Linked DNA regions of Neurospora crassa OR74A. The protein of the gene in region 3 purifies or fractionates together with the protein of the main gene of each other region. This does not show direct contact. Links are inferred from orthologs where the notes say so. Each region holds a gene or a part of one and is shown on either strand. Other genes may lie near its edges.

Region 1 (3,819 bases), on a different chromosome or scaffold from region 3:
GCTAAGGCGCACCTCTTTGACTGCATGGGCAGACCGGAAAGGGGGTTCTCAATCACCATGCGCGCGGCGAGCCTTGCGTGGCGTGCGCGGCTGCTCACCCTTCTCTGGCAGGCGGTTGGCGCTCTGGCCAACATACTGAATGCGATGGGCGAGTTCACTGCCGCTGTGCAGCTAGTAGAAGCAGTGCTGCCGCGCTCGATGGAGTCGGAGAATGCTTTCAACACAGGCATACTGTATAGTATCCTGGCGGATGCCAGGATGGGACAGGCTGGAAAAGCTGCAAAGGCCAGGCAGGCGATGACGACGACGGGAGAAACAACAGGAGCGGCGGCGAGCTTGATGAGCAACAAAAAAATCGACCTCTTTACGAAGGCACACGAGGCGCTGGAGTGTGCGTTCAACCACTTCTCTGCGGCGGAAGATCTGGAGAAGCAGTGCGAGACGTTGGCGAAGAGGGCGACGCTAATGAAAGTGCTGGGGGATCATGCTCGAGCGGAGGAGTATGCGGCGCGGTATATGGCATTGAAGAGGCAGAGCTCGTCGGGCGAGCATTCTAGTGTATGGTCGACAGATACAGGTACGCCATAATATGGTTTGGGTGGGGCTCAGTAAAGCTCCGGTCGGACGTTTTTATGGAGCAGTTCGGTTGTAATGACTTGATGAGGAATGGAGAATATTGTCGCTGGCCATAGAGGTTGATGTTTGATTTCATCGAACATGGCGCGGATGTGTGCCCCTTGTTTTGTGTCTTTATACCCCTGGTAGAAATGGAAGGAAGCTATGAAGGCTCACTGCACTTTGTCTCATGGAGATCCCCAGCAATAGCAGTAGAACACTGTTTTCGTCCTGCACATGGGCTTCCATCAAGAATAAGATCATATGGATGTCAATGCGAGCCTTTACAAAGGCTGATATCAGAATACAAATAAATTGATATGATGATTGCGGATCAGTAGACGTGGTGGTGCCTCTAGCACTCGTCCTGTTCTTTCTTTTCCACACTTCATTCACAGTCCCATGCCACCTGCTCTCACTACACGCTAGCTGTCCCAATTCTCTTTGCTTTCCAATGATCCAGGGATGATGCCAGTCTAGCAAGCAAGAGCACAGATGGTGCTTGTGAAGCTCGCATCAACAAGCCACTTACGTGACCTTGTCGCGGTTGTGGTAGTTGACAGACTCGTTCCAGCTAAACAGAGTTGGTATCGGTCAGTAGTTGTTGCCATAGAATGAGGCTCCTTCGATGGGGCGGGCTCGACACGCTCAAAGCTCCTTCGTTCAGAAAGGCCATGCAGAGATGCCCGCCGGTTGTGCGAGCTTCGGATGGGTTAAACGTACAAGAGAGTCTTGTCACCATCGCCCCAGGGGTAGTTGCGGGTGCGGATGTTCTGGTAGGGGTACTCGGTGCGCTCCTCAAGGGGAGGGAGGTGGGACCAGTGCTCCCAGTGCTCGTTGTAGAGGGTGTAGGCGTTGTATCCGGCGAGGGCGAGGGCAGGGGGAATGCCGCTGGGAGAAAGGGTGAGTTTCGTTAGCTTATTGTGTTCCATTCCCCTTTTCTGTCCCCCACTCAATCAAGCATTCCGTAGATGTTGACTGTTGATCCCCTTCGTCTTCTCGGCGGTGCACGTCGGCTATGACGTTGGTGTCATGCGCTCGTCGTTGAAGGCGGGCTCCGATCGGAGCTCGATGGAGCTTCATTTGAGCTAGCTGAAGTTCCAATTCCTTCAGAGTCCGAGGGGTCCATCCGGGAAAAACCACGCAGCGGGGATTTGGGGGGTGGGAGGAAATGCGCATACTAGAGAGAGATCTTGCGCCAGAGCTCTATATGGCGACTCCCGGTTAGCATTTCCCGTCCATCGATAATCGGGGTCGGCAATTGACAAGGGCGGGTGGTGGATTAGTGCGCACCGGTGGTCTCAGCGGCGTGCTGCTTGACGGCCTCACGCTCGCGGACGAAGGCGTTCTTGCCGGACTCGTTGGCAGGGGTGCTGGCGAAGCGGCGCTGGACGGTCTGGCGGACCGCGGGGGCGCGAAGGTTGGCGGCGAGGCGCGCGAAGAACATCTGGCGTTGGGCGAACATGGTTTCCGTATTCGTTGTGGTCGACTACAGGTGGTTCGGAGGAGGACTGGTAACGAGGTGGATGCGGAATCAGCAGCAAAGGTTGTAGCAAGCTGGCCCCACTCTTTTCCTCCTGCGCTTGGCGGCTTCTCGTGACTCCGGGTGCGAACTGAGTGAGGTCAGAGACCGATCAGCTCATTGCTCAGTTCGACCTCGGGTGCGTGCGTGGGTTGCGGCTGCTCATGGGGTGTGGCTGGAGTGCACAGACAGTCGAAATCAAGCCACAGTGCCAAGTGCACGTTCCCGTTGAAAGCTTGAGTTGCGCGAGCAGTCGGAATGACGAAAGCAGCTGCCTGTCAGGTGACTTCGTGTGTGGACCGCCCAATTCACCTGCGTAATTCAACCGCACGAGCCAATCGTTCGTTTGTGGACGCCGCGAACTACTTGGCGATGGCTTGGCAGCTAGTGACATCGTTGGTCGTTTGCCGCAAGGTGTGGCAAACTCCAAGAGACTGGGAATATCGATCGATGTAGCGACGTGAGGGAAAGATCAATTGTTCCCGAGACCTGAAGCTCTTGCTCATGCGAAGCCGAACATCGAAGACGTCAGCCCATGTCCCTCTGCTTCTCGTGTGGCCATTGCAATTACAAGCGCCGCATCCGGCGACCGAAGTGACTTTGTTGTGCTATAAACCTGGTAGATCTAGAGAGCTACCTTAGCATCAGTAAAGGAATATCTGAAAATGGGGTTACGGATCACGACGTGGAATGGTGAGATCCTCTTGCGCGTTTTTGCTGCGTTTTGCCTGGTCTAACTCAAACCAATGTGTAGTCAATGGTATCAGGTCGGTCCTAACACGACAAGCCGTCCCTATGAACCAGCTCTGACCCTGCTTCAAGAAACCCATTCAGTTACCAGCCATGGCGGGAGAACCGCACGTTTCAGGTGGGATCAAGTTCCCTATTCAAAAGCCCTATCTGGCCGGATGCTCTAACACAGTGAAGGCCATGTTCGACACCTTGGACGCCGACATTGTGGTCATACAGGAAACCAAGATTCAGCGGAAGGATTTGAGAGACGACATGGTCCTCGTCCCTGGCTGGGATGTGTACTTCAACTTACCCACGTACAAGAAGGGCTACTCGGGAGTTGCAATCTACACTCGTTCCTCGAAATGTTGCCCGATACGCGCCGAAGAAGGCATTACTGGCGTTCTGTGTCCGCCGAACTCGTCCACAAAGTTTCGCGACTTGCCTGCTGATCAGCAGATTGGTGGCTATCCCACTCCCGGCCAACTCTCCAGCGACATAGACGAAGCTCAACTTGACTCCGAAGGAAGGTGTGTCATCTTGGAGTTCCCTGCCTTTGTTCTTATCGGTGTATACAGCCCGGCCACGCGAGACGAGACCAGGATCGAGTTCCGTCAGGCCTTCATCGACGCCATGGATGCCAGAGTTCGTAACCTTGTCTCCTTGGGGAAAGAGGTGTTTCTCTGCGGCGACCTCAACATCATCCGAAACGAGATGGATACCGCTGGTCTACCAGAACAATTGAAAAAGGAGGCCATGACACTCGACCAGTTCATCTCGACCCCTTCGCGCCGGTTCTTGAACCAAATTGTTTTCGGTGGCCGAGTGATTGGTGAGCCAGACGAAGGGCGAGAGAAGCCTGTGCTGTGGGATCTCTGCAGAGAGTTCCATCCAAAGCGTCCAGGCATGTACACGTGCTGGGAAACAAGGAAGAACGCGAGGCCTGGAAA
Region 2 (4,082 bases), on a different chromosome or scaffold from region 3:
TCGTTGCCCGTAGCATGGAACCGATCACCCCTTGAAGTCGTCGAGCTTCCCCTGAATGAATGTCAACAAAGCACACACCTTTGACTTACGCAGCTAAGGCGGCACCGCATCCTCGACCGCTTTTAAATTCCTTTAACTCTAGTCAAGTCGGTGCGAGTCATCTTCCAGCATGTGGGTAGTTTTCGTTTCTTACCAAGGATACACACTGCTGCTGGCAGGTTAGGAATCTCCACGCCTGAAGTTTGTTATCGTTGCACTTCGCTTGACAAACGTTGACCGAAATTTACTGCGCGGTGCAAGGTGTTGCGTGAGACGGACAAAAAGTGCTTGAAAAAAAAAAACCGTCTGTCGTCGATGAGGCTCAAGCTGTCATCACCCTTGCCACAGCAGACTGCCGTGACACAAGGCACTTGCTGCATGCGGCCCGAGCCTGACCGTTGCAGATCAGTGCCTCCCTAGGCCCACAACTACGAGATTATCAGACTGTGCAGTCCAAAAGATTTTGAACACACACCTTGGATCCGACATCCGTAACATCCAGCCCGTACCGTTAGAAACGGAAAAGATACCACAAAGTCTTGAAGTGTAAAAAGCCGATATGGTCGTGACAATGCGTTTGTTCGATATTCCTATTATACAGTCTGGGCTCCTAACAGCCCGGTTGCCAACACCTACTACATCTTACAGGATGCAACGACCAGCATACGCATGGCTCATCTATACAGCAATGACGTTGTCTTTGACGGTAGCCTCGTACCTAAAACAAACTCTGTTAGCTCTCGAACCGTATCTAGTTGTGCGGGGGAAAAAAATCAAGAGAGCACCAACCTCTTTCCGCGGAAGGCCCACACACCCCAGTTACCGGCACTGACGTCCTGAGGGTCAAGATCATTCAGATCCCACCGGAGACTGCGGAAGATGTTCTCGCCAGGCTCCATGAGAATGTCGAATTCACCCTTGGCCTTCTTGTTGACCCACTCGACATCACGCTCCATGTCAGCCTGCGTGTAGCCCGTAGCAATGATAGGAGCTTTGGTCTCGAGAAGCATAGGCAGCGTTTCCTCCCATTCGTGGGAGCTTGCCGGGTGGCCCAAACCAGGGTGGAAGAGGACGAAGCAGTCGAAGTAAGGATCGTGAGGAGCGAAATAACCCGTCTTGTGGATAGTATGGTAATAATCCACAATGGTGCTGATCTTCATGGTAGGCCATACGCGATCCTCCACAACCGCACCGTAAGGATTCTCGGGAGTACGAGGCGGGAGGGGAAATTCGTCATCGCGGTTCATCATGCTCTCGGGTCCGATGAAAATCAGATGGAGTCTCGACAGGGGGAAGAGATGGGCCAACTGCACCCAAGCATCTCTAGGCAGCGACGACTCAGCGCGAGCACCGAGAATAAAGACACGCACGGGGGGCGCCTCAGGCCGAAGACCCTTGATAGACTCGTTGCCTCCAGTTTTGGGAGGATGCAGGGTATAGCGAAGTGCCGTCAAACTCTTTAAGCCCTCGACCGTGAGGCGATTCCGGATGTGGTACGGGCTCAACTCGTGAAGAACGCTGCCGATCGTGAGAGGATAGGTCAACAACCTAGTCGCCTGTCTCATGCACCGGTCATCGTTGACAGCTTCGAACTGACGGGTATACATGAACGTGTCCCAGTTGGTCATGTTGACCATGGCATCATCCATTTGCGGACCGGCGTAGTTGAACTCGTAGAAGTGGCGGCCTGAATGGAGGTCATGGTCATCTTCATTGATCTGCCGCAGAGTGTCGCATATCTCGAGATGTTTCTCATAGTCGTCCATCCAATGCTGCTCGCTGCAATATACCGGGATGCCACAGTCAGGGCACTCGAAATCGACGTGCTTCGGCGGCTGGGAGCCAGACTCGGTATCGACTTGGCGGTTGGTCTCGGAGAACTGCCCTGGGCGGTGGCTATGGTGGGGGCAGCTGGCGTGCTGTCTTATGAAGGCCGCGCGCTGGCGGATCTTGGGGATGGGCGAGTTGGTGAAGGAGTGGAAGAGGTTGTCCTGCTCGAGAATCGGCTTCGAGGGGATACCACTACCGGCCAGATCCTCGTTGGTGGCAAACGATGTCGAGCTGCTGGCCTTGGTTCTGGACTGGGCAGCAACGGAAGGAAGCTTGCTTGTGATCGAAGCCTGGATCGGACGCGAAATGGTTCTGGTGATGCCGCCGACTTGCGTCGAAGACGAGGAAGAGCTCTGTGCCCCTCGGATGGAGCTGACGGAGCGTTGCTGGGCTGACTGCAAAAACGCAGCACTTTGCCTGCTCTGTCTAGCTGTGAAAGTCGAGCATTGCGAGCAAAGCTTGGACAAGGCCGGACGCACGGCGCGGTCTGCTGGGAGGGCCATTGGGAGTTCAAGAGGTCGGATGATGTTCGATCGGGAATCTGGATCGCCGGGACTCGATGCGACTTTCCAATTGACTTTTTGGCAGCAGCTCCCAGCAATCCGGGGTCCTCTCCCACCGACCCGACTCGCTACCTACCTCTACTGTGCCTAAGTGCCTAGGCGGGTCCCGTCCATCGAATGACCCACTTTGTTCTTGCTTCACCAGCCACAATTGTGCCTAGGTAAGCTCCGTCTGACGTTACGTATGCGGGTCAGAGAGCTACGAGCAAGCCACAGTCGCGAGGCGGGAAGATGAGTGGGCGGCGTCTACGACCTACCGTGGACCGAGTCCGACGTACCGCTGCAACCTGAGTGACTGGACTGCACCAATTGGCCAGAAATACCATCGACGGCAACCGACTCCATCTACCTCGCCAGAGTGCCAGAACACTGGACCGTGTTTCATTTTTTTTTGCCGTGTTACAATCATCTACTCGATATTCAACTCTAGATTTTCGACAATCTGGCTGACTTTCGCGCATTGGTCTTCTCAACATAACGACGGCAGCATTGACAGAGCACAACCGAGTCCTACCCACTTGCAAAAACAACCTCGAGAAAGCAGAGCCGCGCCGGCTGTCTGCGCCCAGTTGCAGCCATGGCGACTACGTCGAACATGTTCCTGTATTCCTTGACCATCCAGCCACCCACCGCTGTCACGCAGGCTCTGCTTGGTCAGTTCTCGGGAACCAAGGAACAGCAGATTCTTACGGCGTCTGGATCGCGTCTAACCCTCCTTCAGCCTGATCCCCGTCAGGGCAAGGTCAACACCCTGTTGTCTCATGACATCTTCGGCATCGTACGCGCCATCGCGTCGTTCCGTCTGGCCGGCAGCCACAAGGGTGAGTAACCTCCCCGCCACCTCCTGTGTTGGGCAATATAGTGATTCTGGATCCGTTCCCCAGGTGCTTCTGGGTAGAGGGGCCACACGTATGGTCACGCACCATGCACCCAGGCCTACGAGTCTTCTGGGGACTTGAGAGACTCATTCAAATCGGTAGCGGGATTGTGCTAAAACCCTGTGCCACCCAGACTACATTATCCTCGCCACTGATTCGGGCCGCATTACGATTATCGAGTATCTCCCCAAGACGAACAAGTTTCAGCGCATCCACCTCGAGACTTTCGGCAAATCGGGCGTCCGCCGAGTCATCCCCGGCCAGTACTTAGCCGCAGATCCAAAGGGAAGAGCATGCCTCATTTCGGCACTCGAAAAGAACAAGCTGGTCTATGTTCTCAACCGAAACTCACAGGCCGAGCTTACCATCTCGTCACCACTGGAAGCCCACAAGCCAGGCGTGTTGGTGCTGTCTCTTGTTGCCCTTGACGTTGGTTACGCAAACCCCGTTTTCGCTGCGTTGGAACTGGACTACACGGACGCGGACCAAGATCCTACGGGCCAAGCACGAGAAGAAGTCGAGACACAGCTGGTATATTACGAGCTTGATCTGGGCCTGAACCACGTTGTACGCAAGTGGTCAGATACTGTCGATCGCACTTCTTCACTTCTCTTCCAAGTACCCGGCGGCAATGACGGTCCCAGCGGTGTCTTGGTGTGCGGCGAGGAAAATGTCACCTATCGGCACTCGAATCAAGAGGCTTTCCGCGTCCCCATCCCTAGACGCAGCGGTGCCACCGAAGATCCTCAGAGGAAGCGGGTTATCGTCTCTG
Region 3 (3,803 bases):
TTTTTTTAGCTTTGCTAATTTGGTTTTTTTTGAGGCGAGCTTTCCTACCTTCCTCCCTTCCACTTCTCGAGGCGAGCTTCGCTTAATTTTTTTTTTAGCCGTCCCCCCGCCCTGCAGTACTGCAGGGGGGGGGTGGAGGGAAACGGAGGAGGCCGTAAATAATTATTTGATCTTAGCAAGGGATCAGGATTACGATGTAAATGGTTTACCCTTTGACTGCAAATCTTAAGGATTAGGTTCGATTCCTACGTAATCCTTTAGGGTTAGCCTATAGCCAATTTTTTTGAGGCTAGCTTAATTTTTTTTAGCCGTCCCCCCGCCCTGCAGTACTGCAGGGGGGGGAAGCTAAAAAAAATAAGCGCCAGCCCAAAAAAAAATGAAGCAAGCTGCCCGCAAATTTAATAAATTTACTAACTATCTTAATGAAAAAAAAAAAATAATTCTATAAGGGGAGTAATTATCTGTATTTAGGGCTTAAATAATATGGGGGTAGTACATAATAATAATATTTAAGCACTAAAACATATATTTGTTTTTGTTTTTAAAAATATATGATAAAAAGACGCCTCGCGGCTCGATTTATTATTTGTATGTAAAATAAATTTAGGTTTAGTTTAGTTTGGAGGCGAGCTTCGCTAGCCCCTAAAATATACAAACTAAATCTTCTCTTGTAGGCTACAAAGGAATATAAGATACTAAGTAGTATCTTAACTGATGTTGTAGAAAAGGCGGAGTGATTCTGAGGCAAGCTTCGCCCGCCTTAACAAAATATGTATTATGAAGAAATAAACCGGTAAAGAAATATTTCTTTTTTTTTTTATATACACTACCTACATATTTTGGAGGCGAGCTTCGCTTAATTTTTTTAGCCGTCCCCCCGCCCTGCAGTACTGCAGGGGGGGAAGCTAAAAAATAATTGCCTCCCAAAATATTTTTAATATTTTGGTTAAATAATAAGATAAGTCTTCATTTTCTCGCGTAGCGGAGGCTCTCCTAACAAACCCCCCGCAAGCTTGCGGGGGTTTAGAAGTGGGAGCAAAATGAATTATAATAATAACTTGTGCGCTCCTCCAAAGGCGCTCATCCACTCTTCACAATCCCCCTTCCCCCCCCTGCAGTACTGCAGGGCGGGGGGACGGGGGGATATGTGGATAAGGGTAGCGAGAAAAGTTAATTTACTACATGAGGCTAATGGAATATTGGATAGCTGACTTAATATAGCAAGGCACTTCGTTGGTTCTAATACTGATTTAGCCGTGATTCCGCCTTTTTTTTTTTTTTTTTTTTTTTTAAAAAAAAAAAAAAAAAGAAAGTCCACAAAACATTGAAAGGCTAGTGTGTTTTTTAGTAAGTCAGTCAATCACCTACGTAGGTGATCCAGAATTACGTTACCGGGGATATTCTGTTGGTCGGTTTACAGAATATCCTGGTTAGCATTGATTGTATAATCAATAAGATGTTGTAATCTTATTTTATTTTTATTTATAAGATACGTAACCATTATAATAAAAACCATTATATTATTTAATCAATTAAATAGTGAGGAGTTTGGGCTCTCTTTAAATTCAAGTAAAAGAAGTGTCGGGTTAATGTCGTCAATTTCGATTTGAACTGAAAGATGATTTTTATCAACGAATGCTAAAGATATAGGAGTTCTTTATCTAATCTTTGCGCTATTTTCTGGGTTACTTGGAACAGCATTTTCTGTTTTAATAAGAATGGAGTTAAGCGGACCTGGGGTGCAGTACATTGCAGATAATCAATTATACAATGCTATAATAACTGCACATGCGATCTTAATGATTTTCTTTATGGTTATGCCAGCATTAATAGGTGGATTTGGTAATTTCTTGTTACCATTATTAGTAGGGGGTCCTGACATGGCATTCCCAAGACTTAATAATATTAGTTTCTGACTGTTACCACCAAGTTTACTATTATTAGTATTCTCTGCATGTATAGAAGGTGGAGCAGGTACAGGATGAACAATTTATCCTCCTTTATCAGGTGTACAAAGTCATAGTGGACCTAGTGTAGATTTGGCTATCTTTGCCCTACATTTATCAGGAGTTAGTTCCTTATTAGGGTCTATTAATTTCATAACTACAATAGTAAATATGAGAACACCAGGAATTAGATTGCACAAATTAGCTTTATTTGGATGAGCTGTAGTTATTACAGCTGTATTATTATTACTATCTCTCCCCGTGTTGGCCGGTGCAATTACTATGCTATTAACAGATAGAAATTTTAATACATCATTCTTTGAAACAGCTGGTGGTGGTGATCCTATTTTATTCCAACATCTTTTCTGATTCTTCGGGCATCCTGAGGTTTACATTTTAATTATACCTGGTTTTGGTATAATAAGTACAACAATATCAGCTTATTCTAATAAATCAGTATTCGGTTATATTGGTATGGTCTACGCCATGATGTCTATTGGAATATTAGGATTTATTGTTTGAAGTCATCATATGTATACAGTTGGTTTAGACGTGGATACAAGAGCGTATTTCACAGCAGCTACATTAATTATTGCAGTTCCTACAGGAATTAAAATATTCTCATGATTAGCTACATGTTATGGAGGTTCTATTAGATTAACTCCTTCTATGTTATTTGCTTTAGGTTTTGTATTTATGTTCACAATTGGGGGATTAAGTGGAGTTGTTTTAGCGAATGCATCTTTAGATATAGCATTCCACGATACTTATTACGTAGTTGCTCATTTTCACTATGTATTAAGTATGGGTGCTGTATTTGCAATGTTTAGCGGATGATATCACTGAGTACCTAAAATATTAGGTTTAAATTATAATATGGTGTTATCTAAAGCTCAATTCTGACTTTTATTCATAGGGGTTAATTTAACATTCTTCCCTCAACATTTCTTAGGTTTACAAGGTATGCCAAGAAGAATAAGTGATTACCCTGACGCATTTTCAGGTTGAAATTTAATAAGTAGTTTTGGGTCAATCGTAAGTGTAGTAGCTTCTTGATTATTCTTATATATTGTGTATATACAACTAGTTCAAGGAGAATACGCAGGTAGATATCCATGATCAATCCCACAATTCTATACTGATAGTTTACGTGCTCTTTTAAATAGAAGTTATCCTAGTTTAGAATGATCTATAAGTAGCCCACCTAAACCTCATTCATTCGTGAGTCTTCCATTACAATCTTCATCATTTTTTTTATCATTTTTTAGATTATCATCATATGGGGAACAAAAAGAAATCAGTGGGAGGCAAAATTAATTTTCTTGAACTTTTAACTTTCATCCAATTTTTAACTCATAAACTAACTTTAACACCACCAAAACCTCACCTTTTTGTGACCTCAAATTTACAAGCATCTATTTGGAACTGACCTTCTAAATCTCGTATTACTGAAATATCTAAAGCCATCTGAATGAATATGATTAAGAAGTTTAAAATATTTATTTTTTTTGCTCTACCTACTATGTTAATAGTTAAAGGTATATATATTTGTTATGATCAGGAGATATGAACTCTGGTATTTTTTACTCAAAATTTGGTAAAAAATTTCCCTTTTTTTGGCTTAAGATTATTTAATATGATTTGAGTAGAGTCCAATTTAGGAGTAGAAGCGTCCAATTTAGGAGTAGAAGCTCCTAAAGCTTCTTCAATATTTTTAGATCTTCATCTTTGAACCTTGATGTACCTATTTGGTAGTTTAGCTAGAATTTTTGGAGAACTATATTATAGTGATTTTGAATTACCTGCGGGTGTAGGTGGTGAGTCTTGTGAAAAAAAAACACCATCTCCACGTGGACC

What was found.
Region 1: the proteins of NCU16016 (region 3) and eat-5 purify together in Saccharomyces cerevisiae (affinity purification with mass spectrometry; 3 studies listed by BioGRID, with this or other methods). This does not show direct contact. The link is inferred for Neurospora crassa OR74A from reciprocal best matches to the Saccharomyces cerevisiae genes COX1 and COX13.
Region 2: the proteins of NCU16016 (region 3) and NCU00395 purify together in Saccharomyces cerevisiae (affinity purification with western blotting; 10 studies listed by BioGRID, with this or other methods). This does not show direct contact. The link is inferred for Neurospora crassa OR74A from reciprocal best matches to the Saccharomyces cerevisiae genes COX1 and MSS51.

The regions. Positions count from the first base shown.
Region 1 is NC_026501.1:1,850,497-1,854,315, forward strand, and holds eat-5 (encodes anonymous transcript-5 protein), read right to left. Parts: upstream 2,277-3,819; 5' UTR 2,081-2,276; coding exon 1,909-2,080; exon of another isoform or gene 1,847-1,908; coding exon of another isoform or gene 1,822-1,846; coding exon 1,797-1,821; intron 1,507-1,796; coding exon 1,339-1,506; intron 1,190-1,338; coding exon 1,144-1,189; 3' UTR 589-1,143; downstream 1-588. Other genes in the region: eat-6 (anaphase-promoting complex subunit Apc5), read left to right, coding at 1-588; NCU01961 (DNA lyase Apn2), read left to right, coding at 2,803-2,830, 2,892-2,904, 2,960-3,005, 3,065-3,819. UniProt on the Saccharomyces cerevisiae protein: Component of the cytochrome c oxidase, the last enzyme in the mitochondrial electron transport chain which drives oxidative phosphorylation.
Region 2 is NC_026503.1:3,705,771-3,709,852, forward strand, and holds NCU00395 (mRNA processing protein), read right to left. Parts: upstream 2,506-4,082; 5' UTR 2,373-2,505; coding exon 829-2,372; intron 758-828; coding exon 718-757; 3' UTR 518-717; downstream 1-517. Other genes in the region: NCU00396 (pre-mRNA-splicing factor rse-1), read left to right, coding at 3,010-3,253, 3,444-4,082. UniProt on the Saccharomyces cerevisiae protein: Has a dual role in the assembly of cytochrome oxidase subunit 1 (COX1). It has a regulative function on COX1 synthesis, acting as a translational activator specific for the COX1 mRNA, and it also binds to newly synthesized COX1 protein.
Region 3 is NC_026614.1:37,679-41,481, forward strand, and holds NCU16016 (cytochrome c oxidase subunit 1), read left to right. Parts: upstream 1-1,589; coding exon 1,590-3,263; downstream 3,264-3,803. Other genes in the region: NCU16017 (hypothetical protein), read left to right, coding at 3,226-3,803. UniProt on the Saccharomyces cerevisiae protein: Component of the cytochrome c oxidase, the last enzyme in the mitochondrial electron transport chain which drives oxidative phosphorylation.